3 linked regions of the Oreochromis niloticus genome follow. The protein of the gene in region 2 interacts with the protein of the main gene of each other region in a pairwise test. Links are inferred from orthologs where the notes say so. Each region holds a gene or a part of one and is shown on either strand. Other genes may lie near its edges.

Region 1 (10,401 bases), on a different chromosome or scaffold from region 2:
TAGGTAGTAATGTGATCCTCTAAGGAGGAGTGTAGTAATATCACACTCCTAGATGATCATTTAAACCTGTTGTGTATATACATAAGACTTTTGGGACCAATGGAAAACTTTTTTTTTTGTTATAGTGCTCCAGTTTCTCTTGACAGCAGCATTGTCTCTGTCTTTGCAGTTTCTCTTAGTTCTGCACAATAACATCAGCTTTTATTCTCTTTCTGTTGAACAACCGTTTCTTATGTCTTTTTTGTAACTTGCTATACTGTGTTATTTTCACTATACTAGACTACATTATAGATACTTTTGTTGTTGTTGTTGTTCCATTGGGGTTGTTATTTCCTCCAAAAATAACCACGTGTTTCTTCTTCTGACTACAGAAAGAGTCTGAGAAACGCAATGTAACGGTCCAGGCCGACGATCCAATATCCTTCATGCAGCTCACGGCCAAAAATGAGATGACTTCCAAGGAGGACCAGTTCCAGCTCAGCCTGCTGGCTGCTATGGGCAACACTCAGAGGAAGGAGGCCGCCGATCCTCTGGCATCGAAACTCAACAAGGTGCACCATACTTAACCCCTAAAAGCCTTTCCATAAAAGGAAACTGGAAATTAATTTGACAGATGAATGTTGGAGTACTTAGGAGATAATAGTGCTTTTGAACAGTAAAAGAGTGAATGGGAATGATTATTGCTGTTTGAGTGCATTTCAAGTTTACGGCTTAGTCTAACTTATTTACAGTTCATATTATTTCATATTATTGGCAACACAGCAGCACCTGCTGCTGAAGCCCTTGTTGTGCACATGCTTTGCTGTTAATAGGTTGTTAAAAGATAATAAACAAGTGTTTGGGGAGTGTTTGTACTTGGTTGTTTATTAATCATTAAACGAATGCATTTTGTCCAACTTAGGTGACCCAGCTGACGGGCTTCTCAGATCCAGTCTATGCTGAAGCCTACGTTCATGTCAACCAGTATGACATTGTGTTGGATGTGCTGGTGGTCAACCAGACCAGTGATACTCTTCAGAACTGCACACTTGAGCTGGCTACTTTAGGTTAGTGTAGTTTTTTTCAGCCTCGGCGAAAAGATGTTTTTTCTCTCATTTAAGCCGCACACATTTGGTTTCTACTTTAATGTAATTCAACTTTCTGTCCTGCAGGCGATCTTAAGTTGGTTGAGAAGCCTTCACCTCTAACTCTGGCCCCTCATGATTTTGCTAACATCAAGGCCAATGTGAAGGTGGCATCTACTGAGAATGGCATTATATTTGGAAACATCGGTAAAAGAATTTTATGTCTATTTTTAGCGTCACATCTCAAGTCACACCATTTTTTTTCTATATGCATTTTTTTTTTTTTTTAAATTAATTGTGGGGATGTCTGGATTCTTCTTTTCAGTCTACGATGTGTCAGGAGCTGCTAGCGACAGAAACTGCGTTGTCCTCAGCGACATCCATATTGACATCATGGACTACATCCAGCCAGCCTCCTGCACTGATGCAGAATTCAGACAGATGTGGGCAGAGTTTGAGTGGGAAAACAAGGTAAACTTAAGGGGTTAAACGGGTTAAAACACATTCCTGGAATCTGACTGGTTTTGCAAAAAGTTGGACTTGTTAAAAGTTTTTTTTGTTTTTGTTTTTTTTAAATAGATTTAGTTGATGTACATTCAACTAACACTGAGCACTGATTGTCCTTTCTTTATTGTAGGTGACAGTGAACACCAACATCACTGATCTGAACGAGTATCTCCAGCATATCCTCAAGTCCACCAACATGAAGTGTTTGACTCCTGAAAAGGTTGGTATGAGAACATTATGTAAACCGCAGACTAAGGAAAGTAAACAAGCTTTTAAATCTTGGCAGCTTTCCCAAATACAAATAACAAAGGTAATTAAAACTTTTGGCACCAGTGCACATCGGAAAGAATCATTAGTGGCCGTATAGCAGGATATTTTCTTGTGCTGACTATATAAAGAATATATGTAAACATAAGACATGCCAGTGCTTCCTTATAAGATGAATGTGCAGATACTGTGATGTTGTTTGTTGTTCTTAACCGACGTTCTTCTCTTATAAACAAGGCTCTGTCTGGCTTCTGTGGCTTCATGGCGGCCAACCTTTATGCTCGTTCTATCTTTGGAGAAGATGCCTTGGCTAATGTCAGCATTGAGAAGCCTCTCCACCTGGGGCCCGATGCACCTGTCAATGGACACATACGCATTAGAGCTAAAAGTCAGGTAGGTCACAGCTGCCACACCGTGAACCCTTAAGAATCTGAGAGGTAAAGGCTGGGTGGACTTTATTTCCCCTCAGTCAAGCAGTACATCCATTTGTAAAAATATCACATGACTTATTTGATTTGAAATAACTAATCAGTTCTGCAAGTATTTGCATAGTGACACCGTTTTTGCCTCTCTAAAGTACCCCAAGTGTGGACTTTCATCCTTAAATGCATGCATGTAACGAAAAATTTGCATTTATTAATCTCCAAATGCAAATGGATTTCACTGTATTTCAGATATGCTAATGTGTAGCATGTGTCGCAGCTAACCCTCCTTCCTTTGTTCCACAGGGGATGGCCCTGAGTCTGGGTGACAAGATCAACCTTTCCCAAAAAAAGGCAAATGTCTGAAACAGCTGCTGTTCTGTGTCACCTAACTTACTGTTTGATCATCGTCATAGCAGATATGAACTCTTATATGGTCGGTTACTTCTGTGCTTTATATTTTTTAACATCACTTCTTTCTGAAAACTACATCTCGGCAATGTGCTTCCCCTGTCCCGTTTCATTTTCAATAAATGTATTGAAATAATGTCCAAAACATGCTCGGTCGTGTTTTCATTGAGTTAAGAGCTCGTTTTTCTTATTAACACCTCATTATTTTTAATTGGTGTTTCTTTTCTTTTTTTTTCTTTTCAAAATAGGGCAATTTATAAAAGAAACTTAAGACAGTATATGCAAAAGGAAGGGAATTCAAGTTCAATTCAATAAGAAAAGGGTAAAAAAAAAAAAAAAAAAAAAAAGAATCCTCTAGTACCAGCCACAACCATTAAGGTTCATATTGAATTTGATATTATTAAAGCCATAAGATGGAAAAACATCCAAACTAAACCACTGATCATTAAATAAGTGTTTGTACCCTTTTTGTAGGGTCAGTATAAGGCTTCCTGGGGTGACTTTTGATGAGATTTGGCGTTTATAAATAAAACTGAATTGAATTGAATTTGGAGATGGCGGAGCAGTGGTTAGTAATAGCTTTGAATCTGCTGGCTGGAGCCTTTCATTGTAAAGTGTCTAGATTCTAGATTGGGCATAGGTGTGAGTGTCTGCTTGTCCCTGTGTTATCACTGTGACAGATTAGCAACCTGTGCAGGGTGCACCCCACCCACTATGACAGCTGGGAGCATCTCCAGCATGACGGTAACCCAAAAATGTAGTTGGATTGTATGCCTTCTTTTGGAAAGTATGGAAGGTTGTGCTGTACCTGCCTTAATGTGCATGGCAGTAGATGTTTAGTAATTATCTTTGAAGAAGCTGTTACAATTACCTAAAGGACGTTGTGCCCCAAAGTGAAGAGAGTGTCTAGCTTGTGATCGTAGCTCTGGGATCTAATTAGAATTCCTCAGATTCCTTCTGTAATATCTCCCACAGTGGGGTAACTGATTGGAATTTGTGCCGCCAGTACCTCCAAACTGAAGACATCACCTTGAAAATGTCCGTCTACATGCATAACCTGGGCAAGAACATAAATTCTTTTAACCTCAGGTAATATATTGCCAAGATTTGAACTGAGCTCTCTGAGCCATCTGCAAGTTTCACTGTCAGCGTGATAATGAGATGGAGATAGATTAGTGCTGGCACAGGCCTCCATATTCCACTCGCCCTCCAGTTTATTATTTATGAGTAAAGGGATATTTCTGGGAGTAGGCCAGATTAAAGGGTCACCACCCCAGTCATACATTTACAGTATCTGTAAAAATCTCCCTCCAGGGGTTTTAGATAAAGGCTGAAAGGTGGCTTTGAGGTCAGACCTTCAACTGTGAAAATAAACAGCCAACTCCAACTGCCGTGTGCACTGCACAGACTGTCTGGTTCGGGCATAGTTATTATGAGAATCACAGCTACACTTTCTAACACAAGGCATGACTTTGGCATTGTGCTTTTGGGTGATTTTCTTGCTTTGCCACGTTAATATGTAGACACAAAGTGCTCATCTTAAACAAAGGATCACTGTCACAATTCCTCTGGGTGATATAATATTTTGTGTTGTATTTTAAAATCACTTGGGTACGACTGAATCTTTGACAGCACTCACTGCTCGTACGAAGCATCCATGTGAACATCACAAACCATTCCCAGGGAGTTTGACGCCCCGCGTTTTCTCTTTTTGGACACCGGGTGGCGCCATGGGTCCCAAAGCCATGTGGTGTTTTATGTTTTGTTTTTGTTTGTTTTTTTAAATGCAGTTAAATATTGGATTTATCACGACGTGACGTGCTGACAACACAAGTCGGGACCTTTGCGCAATGAAATAAAAGGTTGTAACTTAGATTGTAACTGGTATGAGTCAATTTCAACAAGGGACAAAACAAAAAAAAAAACAAAACAAACACACAAATCACAGTCCACCACTTTCAATTTCCACCTGCGTGATGAGTTATGACGTCGCATATGAAGTGCACAGATACGCGCATTTTATCGTAAATTGCGGAGCAGCAGCAGGCGTGTGTGCAGCGTGCAGAAATACTCCTGCAAACATCACTTTTACTGCATTTCCTCCCTTTGCTCTATCTGTCCACAAAACCTATTTTCCCCCACTGTGCTGGGAAGTTGTTTTTTTTTTTTTTTTTTTTTTTTAAATAATTGAATATTAAAATAAGTGTTTATTTTCTAACTAAATCTATCTAAACTTGGATGTAGCGCACAGCACAAACAAAATGTTTAAATCCCACTAAGCTGTGGAAATATTGTAGATAACATATCAAGAAATGTCACCTATTTTTATTTTTTTTATTCATTGTACTGAAAAGTGAAGAAACTAGTAACTTCCAGCATGTTTAAACCATATTTACGTTGCGACGACGACGGCCGCGGGGCGCGTTATCACTGCGTAATTGGCTGTAATTACAGCGAGCAGACAGCGCAGAGCCATTTGAGGACAGGAATGTGACTGCAGGGTGCATGATATTAGTGTCAGGGTAGAGCTGCAGAGTGGGTTGAGGTCTACTTGCGTCGGTGTGTGTGTGTGCAGGAGGGTGTTGAAGCAGTTTGCAGACTGCCTCTAGAAACAGCCCCTAGCGTCAGACATCAGTATTAGCCTGGCTGATTACTCTTAACTATCGGATCAGCATCTTGAACGGTGCAGTGTTGGCGAGCCCGAAACGCGGTCAGGCGTATGGACAGGCGGTGGTAGCTCCGATCGGGATCCCTCTTCGTTTACATCCCTACAACTAAATAAAAAAGAAAGAGGGGGCTGCTGCACAGGCGAGACTGTTTCGGCACGTAGCTGGCCTCTGTATCTGCGTTCCGGTGCCTCCAACTACGAGGGCCTCTTCAGTTTACAGGGGGAAAAGTGGGTGTTTGCTGCTTCACTGGTGTTTCGGCAGCGGCAGCGGCGGCGGTGTCCTCGATGGCAGGCTGGAAGGACGGCTCGGTGCAGGAGAAGTATCGCCTGGTTGTGGTCGGAGGAGGTGGCGTCGGGAAATCAGCCCTGACTATCCAGTTTATTCAGGTCAGTAGCGGTAAACCTTGCAGTTGAAGCGAATGTAAGCCTCGCTCTGATTTCCACGCTCGCCCGAAAAAACACGGCCAAACAAGGAGGGAGAGGCCGGACACGGGTATCCGTCCGTAAACGGACACCGGGGTCTGTTTTTCTTCACTACTTTGCCGAGGCCTGCGACTGTCGGACGGATGGGGAGGTTTTAGTGCGAGATATGGAGAATTAAACGTCTGTCACTTTAACGCGACGATTTCCGAGAGGACCACTTCCACTTTGCAGTTTGTACAGCCGCTAGTCATAAGAGAAAGGAAAGTGGGTCTTTGGAGCTTAAAGAGTTGTCCTATTTTCTTTTACCTAAGTTTCCCTGCAAAGTAAAGCAGCGGATTTAGAGTTCGTGCTAAGTTGTTAAAAGTCCTGTGATTTTTTTTTTGAGAGGGGTTGCAGTGGCCCACCAAGCCACACAATGTAATACTTCAAATAGAAGGATGTAAAAGCTGTACAAAGTTGGTACAGTGGTATCTCTCTGTGTCACTCTCAAGAGGAAAAAGTGCGTTTGAGTTCTTTTTAAGTGCCACCAAAACGGATCCTCCAGATCTCACTGGAAATATGTGAACTAGACAGAGAAAATCCGTTCAGGTTGGGTGACTGTAAAATAAGCAGCAGCTGCACAAAATGTCCATTGAGAGATGATTAACTTTTGTGCTCTGATGCAGAGTCTCACCAAGTCTGCTGGTTAACCTCATTTCGAGCTGAAACCAAAGGCAAGCAAGCGCACTAATATAGATAATCTATAGAAATGAAAGGTTGCTTCCACCACTCTTCATCAGTTTTACAGCAGCCTGCTTGAAGAAAGCTCGCTGGGTGTCACATATAAAAGGCATGTAAACAGTTTACCTCCCTGTAATGCCTGGTTGCATTCCAGCACAGTGCAGACACTGCTCTGACCTTCCAGGCTTTCATAATCGCCATTTAGGAGAGGGCCCAAACACACACACACACACACACACACACACACACACACACACACTGTATGAGAGAGATGACATTCTTTGCCCTTTGCCTTGTGTGTGTGTGTGTGTGTGTGCCCACCATGGTGTCACTGTGTTACTGGTGCTTGCTCTGGATTGCAGGGGACAAGACAGGCAGGCAGCTGCGTGTCTCCACACTGACAGACAATAGTTGGGGGGGTGGGTTGTGAAGCTTGTGAGCAAGTGTGTGTTGGGTGGGTGGGGGAGAGTTGTATCCTAATGAGGGTTCAAAAAGCTCATTAACTGCATACCAAGTAGGAAGGGATCAGATAGACCTGAACTGGGGGGAAACACTTGAGATGTTATGGTAACACCACTGGAGTAACGCTGATAATGTCATTGTGAATTTTTCTCATTTGTAGTTTTGCTTGTCATATGTAATAATCATTTAAAACGTGCTTCATACATGCACGAGGTGGACCTGGATTTAGCAATAAAGCTTTCTCTAAGGTCTCACAGACTCATTTTCAAATCAGCTAACTGACTGCTGACTGAGGTTTTTGCTTGGATGTCCCCTTTTATATGTATCTTGTACTCGGCAGCTCCCTCAGTTAATTAGCTCGTGTGTTTTTCTTACTGCCGGCTTGCATGTCTTGTGCCGTGATGGTGATAGAAATAGTAGGTGGAGAAGTGACAAACTCTTCAGAGGTTTCTAGAAGTCGCCTGCTGTGCTGTGTTGGGGTGGACCTGACAGCTGGTTGTGAAGTCGAGGCGATACTCAGAACTATGCTGAGTGTTGTGAGTTTGAGGGTGTGTGTGTGTGTGTGTGTGTGTGTGTGTGTGGTGGTGGTGGAGGGGTCGGAGGTGTCTGAGTCAGCCTGGATGGGTTAATGGTCACGGACCATGTGGAATTTGGCCCTTTGGCAAAGGAAGTCCCTCTACTGCTGCTCTTAGGACCTCCTAGTTCTGTATGGAAAAACATGACCTGCTTCCTGAATCACTGGAATTCTGTGCGTGTGTGTGTGTGTGTGTGTTAGTTGTCACTTTGACTAGTACTAATTTTAGTTTTATGTGTTTTGCCAAAAACATAAAATACTCGATGAAGTGACTGCAAGTGTCTCAAGTCTCAATATATCCCAAATACCCTTCTTTGGTTAGATTTCTCTTTAGCAAACGCTCTTTTTCCACTAATAGATTTTTCCTACATTGCTCATTAATGTGCTTTTAATCACCTTTATGGTATGAAATATTGCTCATAGCTTTAGCGTCAGCTGCTGGTGAAACAGGTTAACGTCATTTATTATCTTGTCAGTAACCCTCTGAGGTCAGAGTCGTCATCAGTGACAACTCCAACCCTAACCCTAACTCTGACCCACATCCTGTACTATCAGAACTTTTTGTTCTACGGTTTCAAAAAACAATTGTTCCCTCAAGTCTTTGGAATTGGGGGACAAAAAAAAAGTTTGGATTTCTTCAGAAAATTGGGGTGGGTTATGTTTAGGATTGAGGGTCATCACAGATTAAGACTTTGACTAGAAGATCTACTTCTAATAAACCAGTAAAAATGAGATATTTAAGGTATTTTGTTATCTACTTCCATTGGATTCATATATTTAGATCATCCTCTTGTGGCATCACATTTTAGAATTTTGCTTGTGTGCTGAAATGTTTATCGTTGTTGTGTTGGGGTGGCTGTGGGTGACCACAAAGCACCAGCACGGTAGGCATTTTAAAAAGCACTTCGTCAATGTGGCTGATCATCTGATGCCAGCTTTTTTTATCTATATTGCGTGAGCACATTTTAATCACTTGCTAGTCCTGAGGTGTGTTAGCTAATGTTGATCTTGAGGTTCCTGAGCAGCTAAAATAAAAGACTTTTTGGGACTTTTTTGGGAGTCAGAACATGAAAGATGTCGCTAGCAATAACAAAGAGTGGCAGGTCCCTGGCTGCTGGCCACCCTAATGCCAAGCATTCGACTCAAGTTGAAATAGCGTTAGGATGACATAACATTGAGTCATCTGACAAAAGTTGTTGAGCACTGCGTGTTGTTTAATGTGACGTCTGCGAGGCAGGAAGCATCCCAAGTAAGGGAAAAGATGACTCACGTTAGCCATGTGAGTACTGCATGTGGGTTGCGTCTGTGCCTTTTTTTAAAAAAATCCCTGAAATCATGGTATATTAGAAACCCTTCTCAATTTACTCTGGGTTACCAGAGAAGCCGCCAGCATGAGACAGCTCTCGAGATGTTGAGGTGAAGCGTGGTGTTGCTTTCTCACATGCTTGCTAATATTAGCATGGTGGCAGCCCCTGGCCATGGAGATTCATAAATGAGAGCGAAACATCCTGACTGATCAAGTCCAGACAGATTAGCTGAGGATTTTTGTAGACCTCAGCTGGATTTACAGCTAAAGCACATGTGTTCTCCCAGTTTCTCTAATACACAGCCTCATTACTTGCATCTCTCATAACTTCTAAAATGGATTTGATTAGTCAGATATGAAATCTTTCAGGGGACATGTTGCCAAAAGTAGCAGCTCAGTAGAAAAAAACAGAAAGGTTGGATTATAAGGGCAGCAGCCCTGGTTGAGCATGTGGAGGCAGGATATGGCTGTAATAGTAGTGTTTGAGTAAAAATGTGGTGGGTGCCGTTTCAGAAACAGCCACAGGTGTCTGGGCAATGGCTTTGCAACAATGTTTTGGTGAATGTGCGTTTGATGTCTAGTTTTGAGAGATTGTTTTATGTATTTCCACACAGTGCATGCTCTCAGCCCATTTTTAAATACGGGCGGTTTGTAGCTTTTTGTCTGGCTTAGTCATATGCCAAATACCATACCAATGAGTGCAAACAGCTCCATTCACTGCATATTCTGACTGGTGTTTTTTCTTTTATAAGGAAGTTTATGTCTTGTCGTTATGTCTCGTGCAAGCTGAGGATTATATTTGCTTTCAGATGCAGACACGGACACCTGCAGACACCAGACGAGTAGTTATTTCTGTCTGCTTTTTCATAGACTGCTTGAAATTTGCCTAATAAACTCCACTCGGCTTTGCTTTTATGTTTTGATGATGAACTTTGGGATGGCTCCATAGGCAGAGCCGGTCATCTACCAATTGGAAAATAGATGGTTAGATCAGCGGTTCAATACCCGGTTCCTCCAGTCTAGTCATTGAAGTATCTATAGGCAATAAAGTGCTGTATGTGTGCATGATTGCATTGGCTTGTGGTAAAAAGTTCTTTGAGTGCTTAATTAAAGTAAAAAAGCACTTTATACAGGGAAAGTACAACATTCTCCTAAAACTGACCAGTATAACAGTAAACTCGTTTTAAGTGTAGGATGTGGCAGATGTGTGTGTGGGGGTAGGTGAGGAGAATAACTGTTTGTTTAACACTATTGAGTGGTCACACCTTGGCTTCTCACAGAGTAGAGCCTCAGCGAGAGCAAATAAGCCCCTCAGTAACTTTCACCATAGACTCAATATTGAGTCATCTGATGTCACTGGTTTGAGATGGCATTTTGGACGTTGGAGTCTCCATTTCGGAGCCTGAAGTGGACATATTAATACAAGAAGGCTGTGATAACTTGCTAGCTTGGTTAGCAAATCTAGAGGTAGGAATTACTAAAACCTGCCATAAGAATGTTGCAACCTGTTCAGTCTCCTTGCGATCAAAAGTAATCATGAGTGTCCAACACGCAGGAGGTCTGGGCAACCGTTTAGT
Region 2 (10,837 bases):
CTCTTCTGGAAAGCCTTTTCCTTTTTTCCCGGCATAGGTTAATTTTTTTCTAGTGTTGTTCCTCGTGTTGTTGACACAGCTGTTAAAGTAAACATGCATGAGCTGAGCGTTGGCGGTTGGGGTTCGGCCAATCTGTGAAGAGGGGAGTGGGAGCCCTGGAGTCGCCTTCACTGAGGTTCTGCTCCTCCAGGATCCTCATGTTTTTTTGGACTGGTTCTCAGCAAAGCCGTGATGTGGTGCTGGAGCCGGTGGATCTGTGGACTGCTGGCCGGGACCTGGGATGGCGAGGATTATTACAGGACAGTCGGAGGAAAAGAAAGACAGGTTGGAGCTCTTAATGTTTACCTCTTAAGTGTAAAGAGGCTGAGTTTGTAGTTCGGTGTTGGGCTTGAACTGAAGGACTGGCCACATTTAGAGTTTGGCTCCTTGCAGGTAAAATAATGCCACCCTCTAACAGTGAAGGAAGTTGTAGTGAAGCGGAAGACACGTTTAGACGGATACTGGTTTATAGTTCCAAGGAAAGCACTGGAATTTTTTTTTTTTCAAAATAAGTCCCAGGATAAATTAAACTCTGGTTGAATGCTCCCCAGTTTAGCCCCCCAGTGTAAATAGCACTGACTCAGCTTTAGTTACCAGTGTTTATTTTACTGTTTAACCTTTGCTACAGTTTGCCGTTGATGCTAATGCAGCTTAATACCACAAGTTGTTTTGAACACCCTTTTTATATTAGTGATGCATTATGAGTGATAGTCATATTTATGAGTCATAAACCTGAATTAATGATCTGTGCCAATGATCTGGGTGTGCTCTCTACATTTTTTTTTAAAACTCTGTTGGTGAATGTAAAAAACAAGCAGGATTGCTATCTGCTCACTTGGAAGTAGAGAGTAAAAAAACAGCTGAACAGTGAGCTGTTCAGCTGTTTAAACTATGCAAATAATTCAGTAGAAACTTTAGTTGTTTTGAAGTGATACATGTGACACATCACATTGGCACTCTTGACATTCTTCTGATTAACAGATATGACCTGGAGTGGAAAGATTCAAAAGATTTTAAAGTGTGAAAGCTTTGTGTTTGTTTGTTTTGCTTTTTAGCTGTCAAATGCTCTTTCCATTTTTACTAATTTTCTATCTGTAATTCTGCTCTTCTTTAAATTAAGTTTTGGTGGTTTCCCAAGTGTGGGCTGCACCCCTCTGTGATGCTGTTGTTAAAGGGACCTGTTATGGTTCTTTATAGCTCCATATTTTTGTTCTCTCACCTTTCCACGTGAGCTTTGCATGATTGGCAGTTTAAAATAATCCCTGTTTATCTTATACCCGGCCTTTGTGCAGGCAATCTTCTGTCTCTTTTAAGGTCCCTGTCTTCTGATTGGCTGCCCCTCGTGACAAGAGGGATGGGTGGGTGGGGCTTCTGTGCCTGGGATAACCATATTAGGGGAAATTTGACTCTTAGTGACATCACACAGAGTGAAGAGTAGAAAAAACTGTGTGAAACAGAGCGTTTAGGCTTCAAGCTTTGGACTCACAGGGATTACTAGCACACTGACCAAGATTAATATCAACACGTTTAAGCCTGTCAATGATTTTAGGACTTCCTTAAAATATGGTCCAAATGTCTTAAAGATGTGGTACAGATACGCGTCCTGCATGTTTAAAATGAAATGTGTCCAACAGCCACATAGCGAATATTGCTGTAACAGCGAGAGCGCTCAGGTCGGCTCTTGAGTTAATCTGACTTCACAGCACGACATGTCTGCACCAAGAACCAATCGCTCCATGTGAAATGAAAGAATAAATGCCTCGCTTTCTATAATCTGCTCCCATTAGCTGTCATTACAGTGTGCTGGCTTCACAGCGACATGAAGCAGCACAGACGCCTGACCTCAGCTGTCTGCTCTGCTTAGAAGCTGTCAACCTCAGACGACAGGATGTACAGGAAGCCAGACCTTTTCTCTGTATGACTCACACTCACTCAGGCCTTCAGATTACAGAAATAAGAAAAGATTTTACAGGTTTAATTGTTATTTATAATAGAAGGCAGCTCACAGGTGCGATTAAACTGTGCCAAGATTGGTTGAATGTGTTCTTTAGGCTTCTGTCTGTCCTCAGCTCTGGTTCTTTTATCTGAGGTAGAATGAAAACCTGTGCTCTGTGCAGTTCTGCAGACCATAAATCATCAGCTGTGAACGCCTGGTCACTGAAGTTGAGTTATACAGATTTAGTTGATTTTATTAGGAGAAGGGTTTTGAACGTGAATCTTTATTTTTTCTTGTATTAATCCGTTTATCGTGATTTATGGGCTTGTTATTTTCCTCTTGTTACATAACTCGATATCCAGTCTATGTCTGGCTCTCCCTTTGGCTTTTATTTGTTTCAGGTTTATTGTTTGTGAAGCACTGGAGGAAACATTGAGCGCCTGGCAGCAACCCAGGATAACCACCCAGCTTTAATGCCTTGCTAAATGGCCTCCTGACAGGAGGAATAAAGAACTTTCTGCACTGCTCAGTGTCAGCAGGACTAAAATAAGCCGCTGATGTCACTGCCCTAATTTTAATTTTACCCTCGTCGTGATGGGAATCTTTCTTTGGTTAGTGACGTTTGGATCTGCCCTCCTCACATACTTTTGTGAAACTTCTTCTGTAGGTCGGGGGGTGCAGCCTCTCAGTAAAAGCACGAGTGTTTCTGTGTGAGAAAATAAGAACGTAATGCAGGCTGTTAGCGTCACCGTCCTCGGGGAGCCGTAAAACATCAGCCAGGCCCGCAGCAGCAGCAGCAGCAGCAGCACAACAACATCCTCTGGTGTTGATTTCCAGCAGATGGAAAAAGAGCTTTAGTTAAATCGCAGCAGACTCAGAGTTGGCCGGCCCTCCAGGCTCTGTCAGATTTCTGGGATTCAGCCCATGTGGGTTATTTTGTAGGGCAGATATTAGTACCAGTGCTTGTTATTCTGTGACTTTCAGTCTTTCTGCTGCTCTGTTCTCTGTGCAGATGAAACGGCGAATAGTCACGTCTTGCTCGACATGGGTTACGCTATCTTTCAAACCGATCTACCATCTGGGTCAGGCTTTGTGTTACAACAGACTTTAGGATGTTTTTCTGGCCGTTTTTGCAGTATAGTTTTTGCTGCTCTGTTGTATCTTAATTGCCCCTTGGGGATAAATAAAGTCTCTCTGATTCTGCTTCTGATTAATGATTATAAATAAAGCCTCATGTTTCTGTTGCAGCCTGGTAGAAAAGCACTGGACAGGCCACTGAGGGACTGGGAATAAATTGGCACTAAAAATCTTTAAAAGAATATGGAAAGCGTGGAAATTTAAACATTTAAATAACTGGAAATTTCTATCTTTTTTTAGACAAAAACTTTAATAAAAAGCTTTCAAATAAACATCCTGCAAATTTGTGATAAGAGAAACAGCAACAGCCACATTTGATCATACGGCTGCACGATCAGATGCAGCATTCAGAGCTTTTTATGAGGTCACAGAGCCAATTTGAAAATATGCACTTTAAAAATGGACTCATATGGTTTGATTATTGATTATTATTTGTAATCAAGGATACTTGTAAGTGATTTGTCCAATTAAAAAGGAATGAAGTCCATCCATGCATCCTCTTTCTTCCACTTATTTGAGTCGCAGGTGGCTGGAGCTTATCCCGTAGGGAGAGAGGCAGGATATATCCTGGACAGGCCGCCAGTCTGTCGAAGGACTAACACACGGAAACACACAGCTATTTAGAGTCACAAGTAATCATAACCGCAATGCATGTCTTTGGACTGTGAGGGGAAGCAGAGTACCCAGAGAGAAAACCTGCAGAACTCCACACAGAAATCCCCCAGCTGTCCCGAGGATTCAAACCCAGGACTTTCATGCTGTGAGGGGACAAAGTTAACCACTCTTTTGCCCAAGAGGTACAAGAAATGAAGTGAAATGAAACCAAAACCTTTCTTCAAACACTTAAAACATGTTATATCAGGAAACCTGCTTTTACAGGACCTGGCTCATTGGTGTGGTGACAATAATTGAAATTTGTCTGGAAATATCTCCTTTCCCACTTTTAATCACTGGACTGTAATCTTCCACAGTGAACCATGGCTGTCTTGATTTATTGGAAACTTAAATCTGTGTAAACTTTTAGAAACCCGTGTTGCTCCCTCACTCGTCTTCTTCACGTCGGGCAGCTGCAGATTTCTGAGTTATGAAGCGCAGCCGCTTGGTGAGGAAAGGTCGGACGTGCTTGTGGTTGCATTCAGCCTCAGCTGGTGCGGCAGATGTTTTCCTTAAATTTTCTAAAACGTTTTGACACCTGTCAGTGCCTTGGCGTGGAAAAGCAGTGGGTTGTTTCTAAAAAAATCCAAAAAGAAAAACATGTGAATGAAAATCAAGGTTTAATAATGTAACAGTTAGGTAATGGTTTTGTTCTGCTGTTTAAAGCAGGCTGTGGTGAATTTAAGATTTGTTCTGTGTGATTGGAGACGTTTGTTCCTGACATTGACCAGTAGGGGGCAGCGTTAGACGTTAAGTCTTCAGGTTCTTTCTCTGAAGTCTTACCCTAAAATTCCCCCAAGATGCGTTTGTTGAACCACAACACAAATAAATTCAGTTTACTAACAGGGACTTCCTGATGGTGCTTTCAGGTGCTTTCTGACTGTTAAAGTCAGGTTGTTTGTTTTTATGGTGTGCAGCAGTGCTTTGAAAAGGTGTGTGCAGGATAAGGTTATATAACATTGAGATCTTTGTGTTCAGGTGGTTTCAGTGAGGATTTGTTTCATTTGCTCCTAATTGTTTGCAGCTGAAAAGTTTGGTCAGCGAGCTATTTCGATATTAATCTGTAATTTAGCTCATTTATTTTGGAAAAATTATTCAAGCTTTTCATCTGAGGACCTGCTGATTTTCCCTGTTGTATTTTCTAAGTATAGTAAGATCAGACAGGATGTGTTTATTCTAAAAGTTGGCAAAGAGTTACAGCAGCTTATGACAAAACAGCTTAAACAGACTAGAAAAAGAACAGCGACAAAGCTAAATAGATCAATAGGGTAAAAATTACAAAAATGAAAAAATCTAATAAGTAAAATTTAAAAAGCTCAATAAGTGAAGATCTAAATAAAAAAATAATATAATATACTTCTTGTGTAAAGTAAAAGCGCAATACATTTGATTAATCAAAATAAAACGGAATAAAAATGTTAAACACTAAAATGTAAGTTGAAAAATTTAGATTTTAGACACACAAAATTAGACTTTTTCCCATTTAAATACATATTTATTTGTCATCTTCCCACAAATATGTTTAAAACTCAAACCATTAACCTAAAAAGACAAAAAAACAAAACAAAAACCTAAACAATTATAATTAAATGATCTCTTGAAAGAGCTATAATCTCAGTAAAACTGCTGAAGTGTGACTTAGACTTTTATAACGAGTTATCATACTCACAGGTAATTTGTTTTTTTATATTAATGCATAATCAATCTTTGGAAAACTAAGGGAAAAGTACAAAGTTGCCCTTTTGAAAGGTGTTAGAGCAGCACTGTACTGTTTTAAACTGTACGCCACCTTTAAGCTGTGCTTTAGTGTAACAGTGGAGGAGAAGGTGGGGGAAGCTTCGTGTTGTTTGCTGAGCTGCTCTGGGCTCACGGTAAAAGTGTAACTCCAGCAGACTTCACTGTTTTCTTTTCCCACACAGTCCTCCTGCCACAGTGAAGGCACAAACAGCGCCGTCATTTCCCAGACACATGAGTAAGAGCGGGGGAGTAAGTGCTGCCTTCAGGGACGTCTCGCAGACTCCCGTTTCATACATAACAACTTTATAGTGTGCTTGTGTCGCCCCAGGTTACTTTAGTTACCTAAATTTAGGTGTGATAAAATAAAATGTGGGAAACTTGAAATTAAAGTTAAAAGCAAATATAAACTTCTGTAATTAAATAAAATTATTTTGTGACCTTAGAAAATTAATCACTATAAAATTAAAATGCAGATTAAATAACATTACTTCTGGTCTGTTAATTTGAGTGATGAGGCTTTGGGGAATGTGCTTATTGAGATAATAGGCTGTCTGCATGTCTGTGAGTCCACTGCCGTCACAAACTGTGTTTCTGTTGTAATACTCATTTTAATTTTGTCCCTGATAGAGAACCTCCAGATGATAATATTTAAAAAACAAAGAAACAAAAAAAAACAAACCCAAATCTAAAACTAGGGCTGAAACTAAAAAATATTAAAGTAGAACAAAATATTTTCCAACAATGAAAAAATTAACTGAAATGAGCAAACTCACTCTGTAAACTAACTGGAGAAGAGAAAAATGAAAACTATTATAATTGGACTAAAAAATATAACAACAACAACCGTAGAGTGTTTTTTGTTTTTGTTTTGTTTTAGCACAAAGTAAAAGTCTGATATGGTGACGACCGTAGTTATAAACATTAAAGTATCGTTAATAGCATTTCATTACATCTGTGTAAATGAAAAATAAGTAAATGAAAGAAGTAGTTTGTTCCTTTTCCATGAAGAGTACGTGTTAGATGTTTAACAGCAATTTTGCAAAGTTGTATTCACGTTAATGTAATTAAAGTTATAACTTTTTAAAAATGTGTATAATTTGTGGGATTAAATACAAGACAAAACATAATTTTCGCTAAAGCCATCCTGTGCGTTTGGTTTATCCGACAGCCCTGAAGGCGCCGATAGCTGGGGGCGGGGTTTAGAAAAGCCCCGGTGTGAGTCAGAGCCGTGATAAACTGTACTGAGAGAGGCGATGATCACACAGAAGCGTTAACCTCAGGCGGTAGCGGCAGTGTGTGTCTGTGGGAGCCCTAAAAAAACATTAGAAATGTCAGCGCGGGGGTGTGACTGAACTCTGCGGGCATCCATGGTCTATTTCCCGGGGATGCAAGCCGAGGCGCGTAGCGTCAAGCCGGGCCAGCTGCTCGAGATGTTTGACTCTTCGTGGAGGGTGCGGAACATTTGGGACGGCGTGAGGCTAGAGGTGGTTGAAGACCGCAGCCCGGTGGTCCTGCACAGCTTCACCCACCTGGACCCTGACCTGCCGCTGGTGGAGGTGAGGAGGATGGGGAGGAGGAGGAGGGTGAGGAGGCAAGGAGAGGTCCGTTAGCTGATGCGGTTTGTTGTGTTGTCATGGAGGAGGGTGGATCCAAAGAGGTTTTCAGGCTTCGGTTGCGATTCTGCAGGAATAACACAACACTTGTCCTCTTAAAGAAACATTTTCTTACCGTTAAAACAGAGATTTATGATGTTTCTGCTTTATATCCTCGTATTTCAAAGCTTTATCTACTTTTATGCCCATAAAACATGTTTAAATTTGCGTTAATTAAGCTTACATTCAACATGGTGAGTCACCCAGGTGATGCAATGTGCCATAAACGCTCTAATCCTGTGTTTTTAAGCCTTGTAAACGGATTATCAGTATAAAGCTGCTGATTGGCTGCATCTTACAGTGTTAATACAGTCTCATAACAAACATAACAATACAGGGAAATCTAATATGATGCTGCGGTGCTGCTTGGCACTAGAGTACAGTTACAGGATGACTTGCTTTTTCATGTTGTTATTGAACCTTTCAGCCCTGTGGTTATCACGCCTCCCTCCTTCTGATTCTCTTTGATACTGAAACCCTCCTGTGCAGGTGTTGTTGAGTCAAACCTCACCAAATGCCATGAAATATCTGCACGTTTGATACTGAGAGTGGTCGTTTGTCATTTTGCAGAACGATGCTTTCTGCATCGGTCGCTTGTACTTCTAGGGGTTTTTCCACATGTGCGGGCATACATTGAATCAATCGTGTTATTTACAGTTTCACTAGTTGTTACAGGATGTAGTGGCCTGTTACTGCAGCAACATGATTCATTGATTGGTCAACAAAGTCACCTAACAAAGGAGCGAAGTTAAGATTTTGTTTTTGGTTCTGATCTAATTCATCAGACAAATGTAAACCCATTCAGTTAGTTGTATCATTTTTAGGAAGCTCCGCTGCAGTTCTAAATGTGGCCATGATTACTGTAATTACAGATTAATCTGTAGATCATTACCCCAGCTGTTTGAGTCATTGTTTCGTTGTTAGAATAGTTGTCATGATAAAGATTACACATGGCTTCTTTTGTCCAATCAGCAATCTGAAACAGAAATACTTTAGTGTAATTTCATAGAAAGCCGAAGAAACAAGCGGGTTTTCAGATATAGAAGCTGCAGCCAGCGAATCAGATGCTTTTACATGTTCAGGTCACGATCAAAGTGAATCTAAAAGTAAAAGCACACACGCAGCAGAATGACTTCAGTGTGTATTACATCAAAAACACCCTCCGAGGGAACCGTGAGCCTCTGAGTTCTGGGTTGGGCCTCCGTGGATCGGTCCAGGTTTAATTGAGTGGATGCTTGATTAAATTGGGGTGTAGTTGGTGACGTCATTGTCTGCATTCACTTATTATTTGTGCTCTGATATGTCTGCATCACTGGAGCCGTTAAATCTTGAGCAGCTGTTATTTTTACTGAAATGAAAACAAGAAAAACTGCATATTTCTGCCATTAAAAGATGACAGCATCTCACATTATTAATCATTTACTAATTTGTATTTCGTGTTTTCACTACATATTACTAACAAACAGACCTGTAACAGCTGCTGAAGTGTTTGTGTTGTGTGTACTGTATTTATATTTCTAGGAGGGCTAAAGAGCAGATTTAACACAGTAACGTGAACCCTCTGTTGTCTAAGTCAGCATAGGCGATAAAAACCAACCCTTCACTACCCTGGCCCTAGTTTTTAGAGGTTGGGTTGATCACTGTCTTAGACCTCAGATGGACAATCAAGAATTAGACTCTTGTTTGTGTTCCTATAGAGTTGAATTGTGATGCTAGTAGAGCTCAGATCATAGCCTGTACATGAAAGATGGACATAGCCACTAGTTGGCACTAAAAATGTTAGTTGATTGAACAAATTATTTTTATTTCATTGAAGTACAACAGCAGTTGCCTGCTGGTTCAACAATGTTAGGATGCCACTGGCTGGTGCCCCTGTAACTTCAGTCTCTGTCACGTTGCATGAGCCAGCGCGGTTCAGCAGGACTTCTGCACGGAGCTGTGTGTGACCACATTCAGTTTTTTGTTAATGAGGTTTTAAAGCCTCAGAGTGAACTTTTTCGCTGTCACCATCTTGTTGGTTTGAGATGAGATGGAACAAACTAATGAGATTGAGATATATTGTGCTTTATGGTTTTTGAGTCTGTGTGGCAGTTTAAGTTATAAAATGTATTTTAAAAGACGTAAAACTAACGATTGATACCACAAACTCATCAGGAAAGCGTTTGCTAGGGTCATAGATCAAGTGAGCAGCAGGGGTCTTTATTCATAAAGAATCTGACTAGTCAGTGCAACTAGAAAAGTCTCCCCCTGCTGGGCATTAGAGAGAATGCAGGTTAAATGCTTCACTCTTCAAACACAGGGAGAGTTATCTTATTCTTTAGTAAACTAAACCGGAACATGTTAACATGTTTGACTTTAGAAGACTGAACACACTACAAACCCAATTGCGTGAAAGTTTCAATGCTGTGTAAAATGTTATATTTATGATATGTTTTCTGTGTTCTGTTGTGAATTAAATAGAGGTTTATGGGTATGCAAATATTTTCTTTGCTCTGCAAATTTAGAGCAGTTAATAACAGGAAATCGTCCCTGCAGTATATGAAGATCACGTGTGTTTTGCTTCTCTATCACTACACTGTTTTCATATCTCTAACTCTCATGTTCCCCCCGCCTAGCTGTCCTCTTTAAACCCAGGCTCATAGATATGGTTTCATTGCTAACTATAAAAATTGCCTTTGTTCTGGATTAAATAAACGTTTTCCAGCCTTGTGCTCCATACATCTCGAACATTCGATCACATAAGGTTGAGAGGATGAGTAATCATATTTATTGGTCTTAAACGGAGCCAAGGATTGTATGGCAACGTCACCATGGAGACCATGTATTCCAGTCTGTGTACCTGGATTACATGTTCTCTTCTTTTTACTTTCCGGTGTCTCTTCGGTCAGACTGGACTGGTATCAGAGGTTCATTATTAAACCCCCCCCATTTGGCTCAGTGTGCCCCTGCTGGTCTCCCATCCCCTACTAACCTGTTCTGCTTCGTCCCTTTGCTCTAATCTAATCCTCTGCTCTAACACAATTACCTAATCCCCCTCCTGCAGAGGCTGAGGGGTTTCCTCCACAATCGCTGCCTTTATTCCCCTCCTGCTGCACAAGCCGTGAATGTTATTTGATGCTGAGGTTGTGTTGCAGCATGACGGGGTCACTGGGGCTGGTGTGGTGCTGCCGGCGGTCAGATTGAGCTATTTGTTGATCCCTCTGGCTCCATGTAACCAGCAACATCAGCCTCAATGCACTGTATCGTATAGCTGAGAGGATCGAGTGGCTTTGAAATGGAGGTGTGCCGCGAGATGAAGTTACTGCAGTGTGAGGCTAATAACAAAATGATGCTGTGCTGTGTCACGACTGGATGATTGTTTAGGGCGATTAATGGGCATTTTGGTTCTTTGTAAAATCGGTTTTGTTATAATAAAGGCATAAAAATGATGCATGCCTGCTTAAAATTGAGGTTGAAGCTGATGTGCTTGACCAAGTTACATTTATCGACCTACTTCTACAACATTTTGTATCTTTCTGCAGGAACTGACCCACTGATGTGGCAAGGTTGATGGAATTGCTTTTTTTCTACCCTATAATAAAACAGTTGCACTCATGCAGAGTTTTTTTTTCCTGGCTCAAAATGGGCCTCTGAGGGGTGACTGTGCATACAACCACAACTTGTCCACGTGTAGCTGAAGAGG
Region 3 (11,102 bases), on a different chromosome or scaffold from region 2:
CTGAGCCTGCTTTGTGTCCACTGTCCGGGACGGGAGGTCACACTTGTTCCCCACCAGCACCATGGGGACGTCCTCAGAGTCCTTCACCCGCTTAATCTGTTCTCTACACAGTCACAGTCAGAACAGGATTGCAGTTTTAGTTTCATTTTACTTGTGTAGTACTCCACTGGCTATGTAATACAATCTTAGAAAACACTGTTCAAACAAACCACACTGAACAAACAAAACACTTGTAGTGTACAGAATGACTTTCTATAAACTGTAAGTGTCGCTGTAGTTTTGAGAAAGAAGAACATTAATGACTTAAGCTCACCGCCTGACAGAAGACTGATACACACATACTCTGCTGTAGTTGTAATTCCTACAGTGATTTTTTTTGTCAAATAAATTAAATTTTAGAGTTTTTGTTTATATTTTAATAGAGCATCCCATATATTTAGAAATATTTTAGTATCTCAGTAAGTTAGGGGGTTGCTACAGTATATATATTATATGTTTTTGTATATACACTTTAGCGACTTGGACACACAGCATGTTATCGCTTAGTTTTAAGGAAACTACTACATACTGGGTCCAAAGACATGAGGCATTTTCTCCCCTAGCTCACCTATAGTGGTGAATGTCTTCAAAGGACTTGGTGTTGTTGATGGCAAAGACACAGAGGAAACCCTCCCCTGTCCTCATGTATTGATCCCTCATGGCGCTGTACTCCTCCTGACCTGCTGTGTCCAGGATGTCCAGTAGACATGTCTCTCCGTCAATGACTACCTGCTTTCTGTAAGAGTCCTGGAAGCAAAAGAAGTCCAACAAACATCAGAATCCTGGAATTTAGTGGTTTAAGAGTCAAAATAATACAATGAGATGATAGCTTATTTAATAATTTTTAAATAGATTTTAAGTTACTCTAAATGTGTTGGCTGAGTGTGATTTACCCATGATATCACATTTTTAATCTAATAATTACGGTATTTAAAGTTATGAGATGATTTCAATAAAAGACACCACAGGACATTTTCTGTTCATTACACCAGTAGGGCACTTCATTTTTCAGCAGACCTCATATTACAATGAGCTCCTCATTTCTACTGTGTCGACGTACTCCAGCTTTTTATTACACTGATGACTACACTCAATCCCATCTAACACAAATAATTAGTCTTTGCTCCAGTGAACAGCCATACCTTTGGATGCTATCTTCTATTCAATCTATATCAATGGTCAAACCTCCAGCAACAAATCAATAATTAATTGAAATCATGATGGGACTTAGTTTGATCATTGGCCTTTTGAGAGCTCGGGCAGGAAGACATCCATTAAAAGTTCTTGAAAACCTGTTTGGTGTCTCTCTTTAAAGCTTAAACCAGTAAAACCTGTTATAACTCATTTTTTTAATATATTCACATATATATGTGTATAAAAACAGGACTTACAACTTGTGCTGCCCCCTTTCATATGTCGACATATACACAAAGACACAGGAACAGAAACATTCAATATTTTTCTTTACCTCAATGGTGGGGTCATATTCATCCACGAAGTGATTCTGGATGAGCTGAATGGTAAGTGCGCTTTTGCCAACGCCACCAGCTCCCACCACAACCAGTTTATATTCTGTCATGATTCACCTGTAAGTTTAAAAAAAAAAAAAAAAAAAAAAAAAAAACCACAATCTCATTATATGATTATCTTCAGTGAAAGTCAAATGGAAAGTATTAGTTTATCTGTCGCATAATCAATGCCTCGTGCATTTTTCACTTAAAACAATTTTACAATCTAATCGCATTCACACCTTGTAATTTCTCTACAACAACGCGTATGTTTACTGGAAATCTGCACACTCAGGACTGGCAGAATGAGAAGATAATATATGAACACCACTTCCAGTGAGTAACTCAACTCGCCCTCAGCTATTCTTTTAATAACACACCTGAATCACTGGGAAATTAGATTTCACACCAAATTTAGTTTGCTTTTCACAGAGAAAATGCCCATTTTAGTATTAACCAAGAGGCTTGTAGAAGAAGCTACTATCGCCACAAACACAATAGATGGCTAATCTGCATGCGTTTGTATGCAAATGGAGGGTATAAACAGAAAAAACCCAAATGGATTCACAAAAAGCTGCTATATTATGAAATATTCTTTAAATAATCAATTGAAATTTCTGCCTCTGAAAATTGTCAGAAATATCAAACATGAAATAAAATGCATAAAGATGAGATTATGCATATATGTAATTAAATGTCTAAATTCAGTAGTGTTTTCTGAGTGACAGCTCCACAACAGACGCCAACCCCAGGCAGATATCCATGACATTACATTAAGGTTCCAAAATTGACAAGCAACTGGGAGGGCCTCTGCTGTGTCTGCTTTGTGGAGCAGAACACATCAATAGTGGTTGCTGGTGGTCTTTTCAGAAGCTACAGCACAGACAGCTCGGCCCAGCCTGCAGTCAGGGAGGAGTGCGACTAAATATTATTGCTATGTCTAGAATGCTATGCATTTGCCCAACTACGAATAAACTGGTTTGTGCTCACAACACTTTTCTTTACAAAATTGTCCCCTATCATTTGATCTACACACTAAGTGATGTACACATGTCACCGATGAGGACGCTATCTGTAAAGAAACAGCCTTATCTTTAACCTGAGCAGATAAAACCAATGCCAATGGCGATTCCTCTGTGTGTGCCACATGGCTTTCACGTCTCTATGTCTATGCTGTCACTTTGCAGCATACTAGTCAGTGAAAGTGGAAAATGAATGAATACAGCAAGCTGTCAAGCAACAAACACCAATTTAAAAATAAGGAATGTAGCTCTTGTACTCCAGTAAGAAAATATAATTTGCGTTTTAAGCACTGAGATTTTTTTTTTTTTTTTTAAATACAGTAAAAGAGATGCTTCAAACTGTGGCAAAGTTTTGATACTGTGGAAGGTCGATGGAAACCTTATTTCCTTAAGATAGGAGTGTGGCACTCGTGGCTGTAGCTTGCCTCAAACTGAACCCATTAATGGCATGCAGTGCATCCACCTTTATGTTGACATTCCTGAAATCAAGGCCATTCCCAATAGAGGAAGAAGGGGGGAAAAACCCACTGAACTGAAAATCACTGCGGGAGAAAAAAAAAAATCACCTATTACACAAGAAGACTTATCGATATTTATTAGCAAACATATCGTTATGCTAGTTTGGAACGGTTAGCCGGCTACGTGATTTAGCTTTTCAATGAAAGGCCACCTATCATGCTTCAACAGGTAGAAACATCAGTAGCATACTTAAAACTCAACAGGGAATTTGATTTAAATTCACCGTTTTGCGGCTACAGGGTTACCAGAAAGGCTGTGTGAAACCCTCTGAGCACCAGGCTGCTGTGCTGTTAGCAAGCTTAGCATTGGAGCTCGCCAACAGCCTCGAAAGTAAACTCACCATGAGACCACATCAGCTAACTTAACGTATTTAAAAATGTAACTCATTAAAAGGAGCACTAGCTCCACCGTGTAGCCCGACACACTCGTTATCATTCATTCAAAGGGGAAGGGTGCCAGATTTTGAAGCCGCCATTGATAAGCTAGCTCACAGGTCTGCGTTGCAGGGCCAGACGGTAGGTTAACAATTGGGCGTAGTTAAGTTCAAAAAACCGAAAATGAATAATACCACAATAGCGGTGTTGGTTTGTGTTTAGATAGCGGGCACTGTGACCGACTAACTACATTAGTGAATACAATGTTTCGACGAGCACTAAAAAAAAGAAAAGAAAGGGGGGCCCAACATGTAATAATCTCCTCCATTTGTTTTACCTTTTACTGAGTGGAGTTCCGCGTCCGAAGTAGCGACCGAGTCAAGCTGATATTCCTCTCGTTTCACACGATCTCTGCATTTCCTATTTCTCACCAAAACTCCCGCATTTAAGTTGATCTGTCGTCGGTTCAGAAGCAAGAGACAACATGCGAAAAAGTGAACAAATTAATCGATTGAACTTTCCATTTGATCCAGGGCCCCGGCCTAGCTGCTCCGTCTGGCCTGCTTTACGCGTATATGGGCGGATACCAGGCGTACTTTTACCCATAAACCATAGCAGGATTTCAACCGGTCTGGGGCATTTATCTCTCGATGTGTGTATGTGTCGCAATATAAGTTGTAATACACTGTACTTTGTCATTTGTGTGCGCACTGCTGCTCTTTTACACAGCTTTCATTTATGACTGTAGATTTATATAAGCACTGATTATTCTACTATTAGTGGAAATGTTACGTTTTTTTAATTCAAATATGTGTTTTTTAAAATTATTATTTTTTAATCAGACTGAGAGGTTCATATCAATACTTTAATGATTGAAATGATTAATGATTTCATTGATATACCCACAGAGGTCACAATTTGTAGGACTTGTGCTCTGACTGCTGCTGCCTGCAGTCAACAAAGCCTAGGGGGCACTCCACGAGCCTATTTATAGGCTCTAAATATAACTGGAATGTGCAGGAGGGACGTCATTCCCAGGCAGGAAAATGATTTGGCAATCCCTTGTCAGTTTTCCTACGTGTTCACAAGGGTTCCTCCTGCGCACTGCATTTGCAGGCGTTCGTAACAAAAGACAGACACAAAACCCAAACTTATGTTTAAGAATAAAAGGAAAGAACAGTATATAGCATGTTTTTGTTTGTTTCTTGTTTTGTTTTGTTTGTTTGTTTTTTCTCTTTTATTCATGAGGATTATTCCCCATTGTATCAGAAAGGTTGTTTTAGTGGATTCTGTCTGGGACCTTATACTAAAAACATTAAATAAATAACATGCAGCAAACATAGTACGTTCTTGTACCGTAAAATAATATGACGTTATTTTTAAAACGTAATGCATTGCTTTCACATTGTACAACAGACACGTTAGAGGGCACTATTGAGCTCTCAATTACATGTGTTGCTGGGTTTAGAGATCATCAATTTACACATTTGTGAGAATATCTAAATCACTTTTTCAATTTTGAATCACTTTTTCATTACTTTAAAAGATGCCAGGTCAGAGAGGTACAGGTAAAAGGTAACTTTACAGCTGAAATAGACTATAATCAAATGCTCAAACGTATTAAGGTCACATCATTCATTATACTGTGAGCAAATAACAGTAATTATCATAATCTGTGCCTGGAATTTTACATTAGCGTCAGAGAAAATGCTGCATTTTATCTACATCTCAAAAAATATACTGTGTGTAAAACTAAGGAGGTAGTTAAAAGAGGGAACTCTTAGAGTTCCCTCTTTTCAAAGTCATACACGGTTCAAATGTTAATTGAACAAAAAAAAAAAAACCTCAAAACCCTCCTATCTACCAACGACACTCTAACTATAGTTAACCTTCGTATCTGGCACTGTTATTTGCAGACATGAAAGCAAATCTTGGACAAAAAGTAATTTCCACAGTGACAGGCATGTTCCAGCCACATGTTCATCAATAAGATCACGTCCATAACTTTTTGGACAAAGATACAAATGTTGTAATTTTGGTGGACAATTGTCATATTACCTCTAAGCCGCAGAAAATGAAATGCTTTAATTCTTCAATAGTTAATGTCTTTTTTTTTTTTTTTTTTTTTTGCTAAGCTAAAAATCTGTACTTCACTCACATCTCGATTGTTTGATTTAGAATCTACAGTGGTGTCACACAGGGGCAAAACTACAAAAAACTAATGTGTCACTCTCCAAGTATTTATGAACATAACTGCACATTAAAGAAGCTTCTGTGCTATGACACATTTTACTCATTGTTTGAACATTTTGAGGAAAACTCCATTTGAGCACTCAAAACACTTTTTTTTTACTACAAGACCCATTCACACCTCACTTTTATATATGGCTAAGGAGTTTTTGTCTAACAGTTTCACACACACACACACACACACACACACACACACACACACACAAACAAAAGGTGTTTCATAACTTTTTTGATCAGCATCCTATATGTTGGTCCTACAGTCAAAGTACCTTAGTACCCAAGTGCAAATCAAAATTTTAGCACTTAGCCATTGATCATAGCAGTCTTGTGCAGCTGGTGATATATCCAATGAAGAGACATCTAATGTAGAATGAAAAGCTTGTGTACTAAAATCCAAGAATATAAGGTGACTAAATATATATTTTAAAGATCATAATATATGTTGAAAATGATCTAACAGACCTTTTTTATATATCAGACATTATGGGATGTCTTAACAGGAAACCACAAGTGTAACCAGTAACACTAATGAAGTTGTATTTGATTTAGGTATAACTTACTGACACACTCCACTCCGCTGTGCTTTAGTTTTGAAAGCGATTTGGCAAAGATCAAATTGGTTATTACAAAAGCGATTATGCACATCAGTAAAATAAACATTTATAGATTTAAACAAAACCTCTGACGAAGTAATGTAAGCCTCACCAGACGTGTTGGGTAAGAGCACTTAAACCACTGATTGCACCACTTCTCTGTCCTTAGAGTTAAGGATTTAAGAGGAAGGTCTGTTTTGTCACAAGAGGGCACTAAGCCTCCGTTTATACGTGGTCTCACTGCTGCAGGCTCATCTTCATCATTTGCATCAGTTTGAATGCATCTGCATGCTGTGTATTTGCAAGAAACTGAGGGAATGTAAATGCAGCCTACAAATTCATTCACGTGATTTCTAATATGAATATTTGACAGTGTAAATCGGCTGTTTGAAAAAAATAAGTGTTCGGAGCACCAATTTGACCTTTTTTCAGTTAGATCATAGAATGGTGATTTATCAGGTCTTTATGTGAGCTTGGCTTTATGGTGTCTCAACAGAACTGGAAGTGAAACACGATGGTGTTTAAATGTCTATTTTTCACTCTTTTGGTGCAGTCTAACTGTAGTTCAAAGCTTTTTCGCTCTCTCAAGGGCAGATTTTCAGTCACAGCCTAGGCGACATCCCCCCTTATCCAAGTATTTCCTTATCTAAGAAAACCCTGCGTGGTATCTTTCTTCTTCTTTTAAAAAAGTCTGCGGATCTGTAAAAGTTGGCTGGAAGTCATCCTCCCCCTCACAGTGTATTGCAGCTTTAAAACAGTCCACAATGCCTTGCGGTGCGTCCCAGTTCCAATGCGATGTATTTACCAGCAGGAGTAATGAAACGGGGGAGAGGGGCTTTTTCCGCAGCTTATTGGTGAGACCGCAAAAGACTGTGTGCCTAGAGAGGACTGACACAAACTTTCGGACCGCGGATTGAAGCGTCAGTTCATCTGTTTCGGTGGGTTTCCTTAGTCTCTGTTTTTTCTGTTTTCGAAACGTGACTTTGTCGCAGTTCGTTGATAGTGATTTACTGGGCAATGCTGAAAAGGAGGATGAATTTTGCGGAATTCACTCCTCTACCTGTGTTTTCCCTCTAAACTTCAACCTGGACAGGGAGGACTAACTTTAATCCAGCAAAGGTAAGACCGTTACGCAACGCTGATTATTCGCAGATTGCGCCGCAGCTGAGCCCGCTGTAGTTGCGTGTAAGGCGGAGATAACGGAAACATTTCTGTAGTAGAATTTAGTTGGGCTGCTCTGGACCCACTACAGCCCACTATCGCCATTTCTCCGGCTTCCTCCCACTCGACACCAACTACAGCTCGAGCTACACAAGCAGCTAGAAGGTGCTTGTTTTTGTCTCATGAGGTGTTTCAGCTCACAATTCTCATTGCGTTATTTCATGTGAATTTTAGAAATATTGTCAGTTCCAATCATGGGACGTGTTTTCAGTCTATGTTTGCCTGTGTTGTGTTGGCTTGCCCCTGGTTTTTCCACAGTATCGGGTAAACTGCAGCATCTTCTGCAAATATGTCAAGCGCGTATGTTCTCAAAAGTATGTATGCATGTTTAATAATGGAATAATCTGCATATAGAGCCACTTGGTTTATTCTGTCTAAAGCTCCAGTGCTTTAACCACTTTGACACACACAAACCAAGTGCAGAAGAATCAACCTGTGGAGTTGTTGCACTTGCACAATGTCTTATTCTCTGCAGCCTTGGAGAATTGCTTGGGTTTGGTAGCGGAATCGAGTCATTTGGTGGTCTTTTCTGCAAAGCACCATGAAGACCAGGCTAAAAACAACCACCTACAGACTGGAAAAAAAAAAATATTTAATTGGCACTTTTTTTCGTGGCTGCCACTTCAGTTGCTCCTGTAAAAACCATTTGAGTTCCATAAACGCATACGCAAGAGTTTGACTCACAGCTGCAGCTTTGCAAACCACAGTAACATGTAAAAGAAATTGGCCAAAGGCCTCTGGTTGCCCCGCTGAGCCGCCGCTGTGCTGCCCTGCTGCAGGAGCCTGCTGCTTGGCCCTCTGGCTCTTTAAAGCTGGCTAGTGAGCAGAGAATATGGCAAGGGAACAAAGGCGGCATTATTGCTGGCTGAACGTGCTGTCCAGATGTTCCAGATTCTGCCAGCACTGACCTCCCAAATGGGGGAGGTTGCTTCAGTGCTTAATAGTTTAATATCAACCAGACGGAAAAAAAGAGAGAGGAGCAGCTCCAGGGCAAGGGGCCACTGGAGACATCCCAAGAGCTGTGGGTGCTGGGTGTAGCCTAACTGGATGGGGGTTTAATCCCAAACTCTAATATCTTCAGAAGGAAAACACAAATTCTAAGGAGGTGCTGGAAACATTTTTGTCCTTATTTTTGAGGTTACCTTGGTGGCTTGTGGCATTTACCTAAGGCACACACATTTAAAAAGCTTCACAAGCAAAAAGTATGTTGAATGCAATCCATTATCTTCTGCTACTTTTTCAGTGGACTTAGTATTGGTGCAATAAATGGACAACAACCGTCAATTGGGAATCCTCAGTTTGAGCTTTGCAAACGCAATTTTTCTGACCTTGTAATTATTAGTAGTATTGTAGGATTCATGTTATTTAGGTGCCATTACCTACTGTTGTATTTTCCATAGCCACCAGTATCACTATGCAAAGGACCCCATAGCTTTCTTATCTCTTAGTCACGGCCTATTGGATTCTCACAGCCCAGGAATGCATACCCTGTATGTTATCAGTTTCCACTCTCCAGGATCAAGGCCTTTCTCTGATCCTTACCATGCTCTGTGATGTTTACAATTGCACAGGACATTTTAAACACTCTAGGCTGCCATATCTGTGATGAGGAACTTCTTTATCTGGTCATCAGTGCAAGATGGATAACTTTTAGCCACAATTGTTCCATCATGTCATCATGTCTTACATTAATTAAAAACTTTTGCAGTCACAAGTGATTGAAGGGCAGGGATTATACTTGTTTATGTAGTTGTAGCGCTTGACTAAAAGGGAAGCAATAGATTACTCCAGTTTGTTCCAACCCAGTCGCCTCCACAATAAAACCATCATTTGTCTCTGGCTGCTCACAGAGATCTATTTCACAACAGATCTGTTACCAATTACAGCAGAGTATAAATTGCTACTAATTGCATGCTGCTCTGCAGGGTGTGCAATTTGAATTAAAGTTTGGTAAGTAATAGGCTGGAAGGTTTAGAGAAGACATGTGTTGCTCCAGTCTGTAAGAAGGATCCTATTGTATTTAGTTAACAGCAGTGTGGGGGAGTTTTAAATCTCAGGAGGCTTCTGCTATAAATCTTTATTAATAAAGACTCTTGAATACGAATTCCAATAATATTGCAATGCCTGAACCTCTGCTAGTAACATTGTTTACCACCTTGTTGAACAATGGTTAGCAAATATAGACAGAAACTGGAATTTTTATAAGAAAAATTTTATTTTATAGTCTTGTGTTTTTTGTTTTTGCTGCTTTACAGGCCTTTTCCTCGGTGAAGCACACTGGCTTTGATGTCCCCTTGTTCAGCATACTGATAAAATGCACAATACACCTGCCAGATCGCGATGCCTGACAGACGCAGTTCTGTATTTAAGCTCTAACATTAAAACTCCTACAGTATTTCTGTATGCTGTATGTTACTGAAATGTGTTGGTTGTGCTGAAACGGGAGCATATGGTAGCTTGTTTTACAGCAGCAGCCAGTAGAAGCCTTTCCCTGCCAGCTTGGTGTGCTCCTGTAGGTCTGGAGAAGTGTCATCAGCAGCCGGCCAGGCAGGCTGCTCATTTCTGTTCGTACACCTCACTACTCAAAGAAGACTTCGTCATGAGTCAGTGATACTCAACCAATACCAGACCGAAACAAATGTGAGCAGTAACTAAAGTCATTTGGGGTTGATGTTTTTTTTTTTGCAGAATTTGCAGAAATTCGAGTGTTTCTCTGTCTCGTGAAATGCCTCTCTGGCAAAACACAAGCTGCCCAAATCAGCAGGCGGGCATCTCCCCAGGCTGTGGCTTTGACTGGCCAGAGGAATGGAGCTTGCAGGGCTCAGGATGGCACTCTGCCCCGCACCGCTGTGCCTGTATCATCAGTTGGGTTTTCTGGGTTAATGGTAATGAATACAAATGTTGCAAGACTGGACTAAAGCAAGTGACATTTGTAAATTCCCCTCTGAGTCTTATAGAGCTTTTGCAAAGAAGAGGCACTGAATCAGCCAGCAGATATTTCTAATGCCAGTGAAATGCAAAGTATTCCATGCAGTGGTCTTTTTAAAATCCCCCTCAGCCAGATGCCATTAGTCTGGAAGTGTTGCTATAGTTTTTTTTTGAGGGGGGGGGGTTCTTCTTCCAATCAGAATGGCTGATCTCCTATTGCTGCTCCACTATGACTGCTTTGCATCAAGACCTAATCAGTGCCTGTTACTGTTTCTACGTCCCCCCTGGAAAAAGACTTTGGGTCTTTTGGATGATGGCAGAAAAATCTAAGCGTCTGCATGTGTTGGCCGTTATTCATGTTCCTCTACGTCCTTCAAGCATTTAATGCCATTTAGGTTCCGTTTTATAAGAAGGATAATAGCAAGCATAATGTGCCAAGAATAGACTGAAACTAGATGACACAAGTGCGCATACATACATAACACACACTGCAATGAAACTACCTGTTTTTGCTTTTCTGCTTTTTGTATTGCAGATAGGTAGAAAATTTTTCAGTCAGTATTATAGAAATTCTGAGGATTAAAAGATTGTTTTTTTTAATTTAACACTTTGGCTGTTTTAAATTTTTAAAAACAAGCATTTTGAAAA

Evidence for each region.
Region 1: the proteins of ral guanine nucleotide dissociation stimulator (region 2) and rras2 interact in a two-hybrid assay, tested with the Homo sapiens proteins (2 studies listed by BioGRID and IntAct). The link is inferred for Oreochromis niloticus from reciprocal best matches to the Homo sapiens genes RALGDS and RRAS2.
Region 3: the proteins of ral guanine nucleotide dissociation stimulator (region 2) and kras interact in a two-hybrid assay, tested with the Homo sapiens proteins (3 studies listed by BioGRID and IntAct). The link is inferred for Oreochromis niloticus from reciprocal best matches to the Homo sapiens genes RALGDS and KRAS.

What each region holds. Positions count from the first base shown.
Region 1 is NC_031965.2:19,878,194-19,888,594, forward strand, and holds the start of rras2 (ras-related protein R-Ras2), read left to right. Parts: upstream 1-5,163; 5' UTR 5,164-5,624; coding exon 5,625-5,726; intron 5,727-10,401. Other genes in the region: copb1 (coatomer subunit beta), read left to right, coding at 372-551, 902-1,046, 1,152-1,271, 1,390-1,535, 1,702-1,791, 2,076-2,231, 2,567-2,626. UniProt on the Homo sapiens protein: GTP-binding protein with GTPase activity, involved in the regulation of MAPK signaling pathway and thereby controlling multiple cellular processes. Regulates craniofacial development.
Region 2 is NC_031977.2:33,216,666-33,227,502, reverse strand, and holds the start of ral guanine nucleotide dissociation stimulator, read left to right. Parts: upstream 1-6,645; 5' UTR 6,646-6,870; coding exon 6,871-7,059; intron 7,060-10,837. UniProt on the Homo sapiens protein: Functions as a guanine nucleotide exchange factor (GEF) activating either RalA or RalB GTPases and plays an important role in intracellular transport. Interacts and acts as an effector molecule for R-Ras, H-Ras, K-Ras, and Rap.
Region 3 is NC_031972.2:57,151,106-57,162,207, forward strand, and holds the start of kras (GTPase KRas), read right to left. Parts: upstream 4,070-11,102; 5' UTR 3,800-4,069; intron 3,112-3,799; exon of another isoform or gene 2,949-3,111; intron 1,626-2,948; 5' UTR 1,619-1,625; coding exon 1,508-1,618; intron 787-1,507; coding exon 608-786; intron 104-607; coding exon 1-103. UniProt on the Homo sapiens protein: Ras proteins bind GDP/GTP and possess intrinsic GTPase activity. Plays an important role in the regulation of cell proliferation.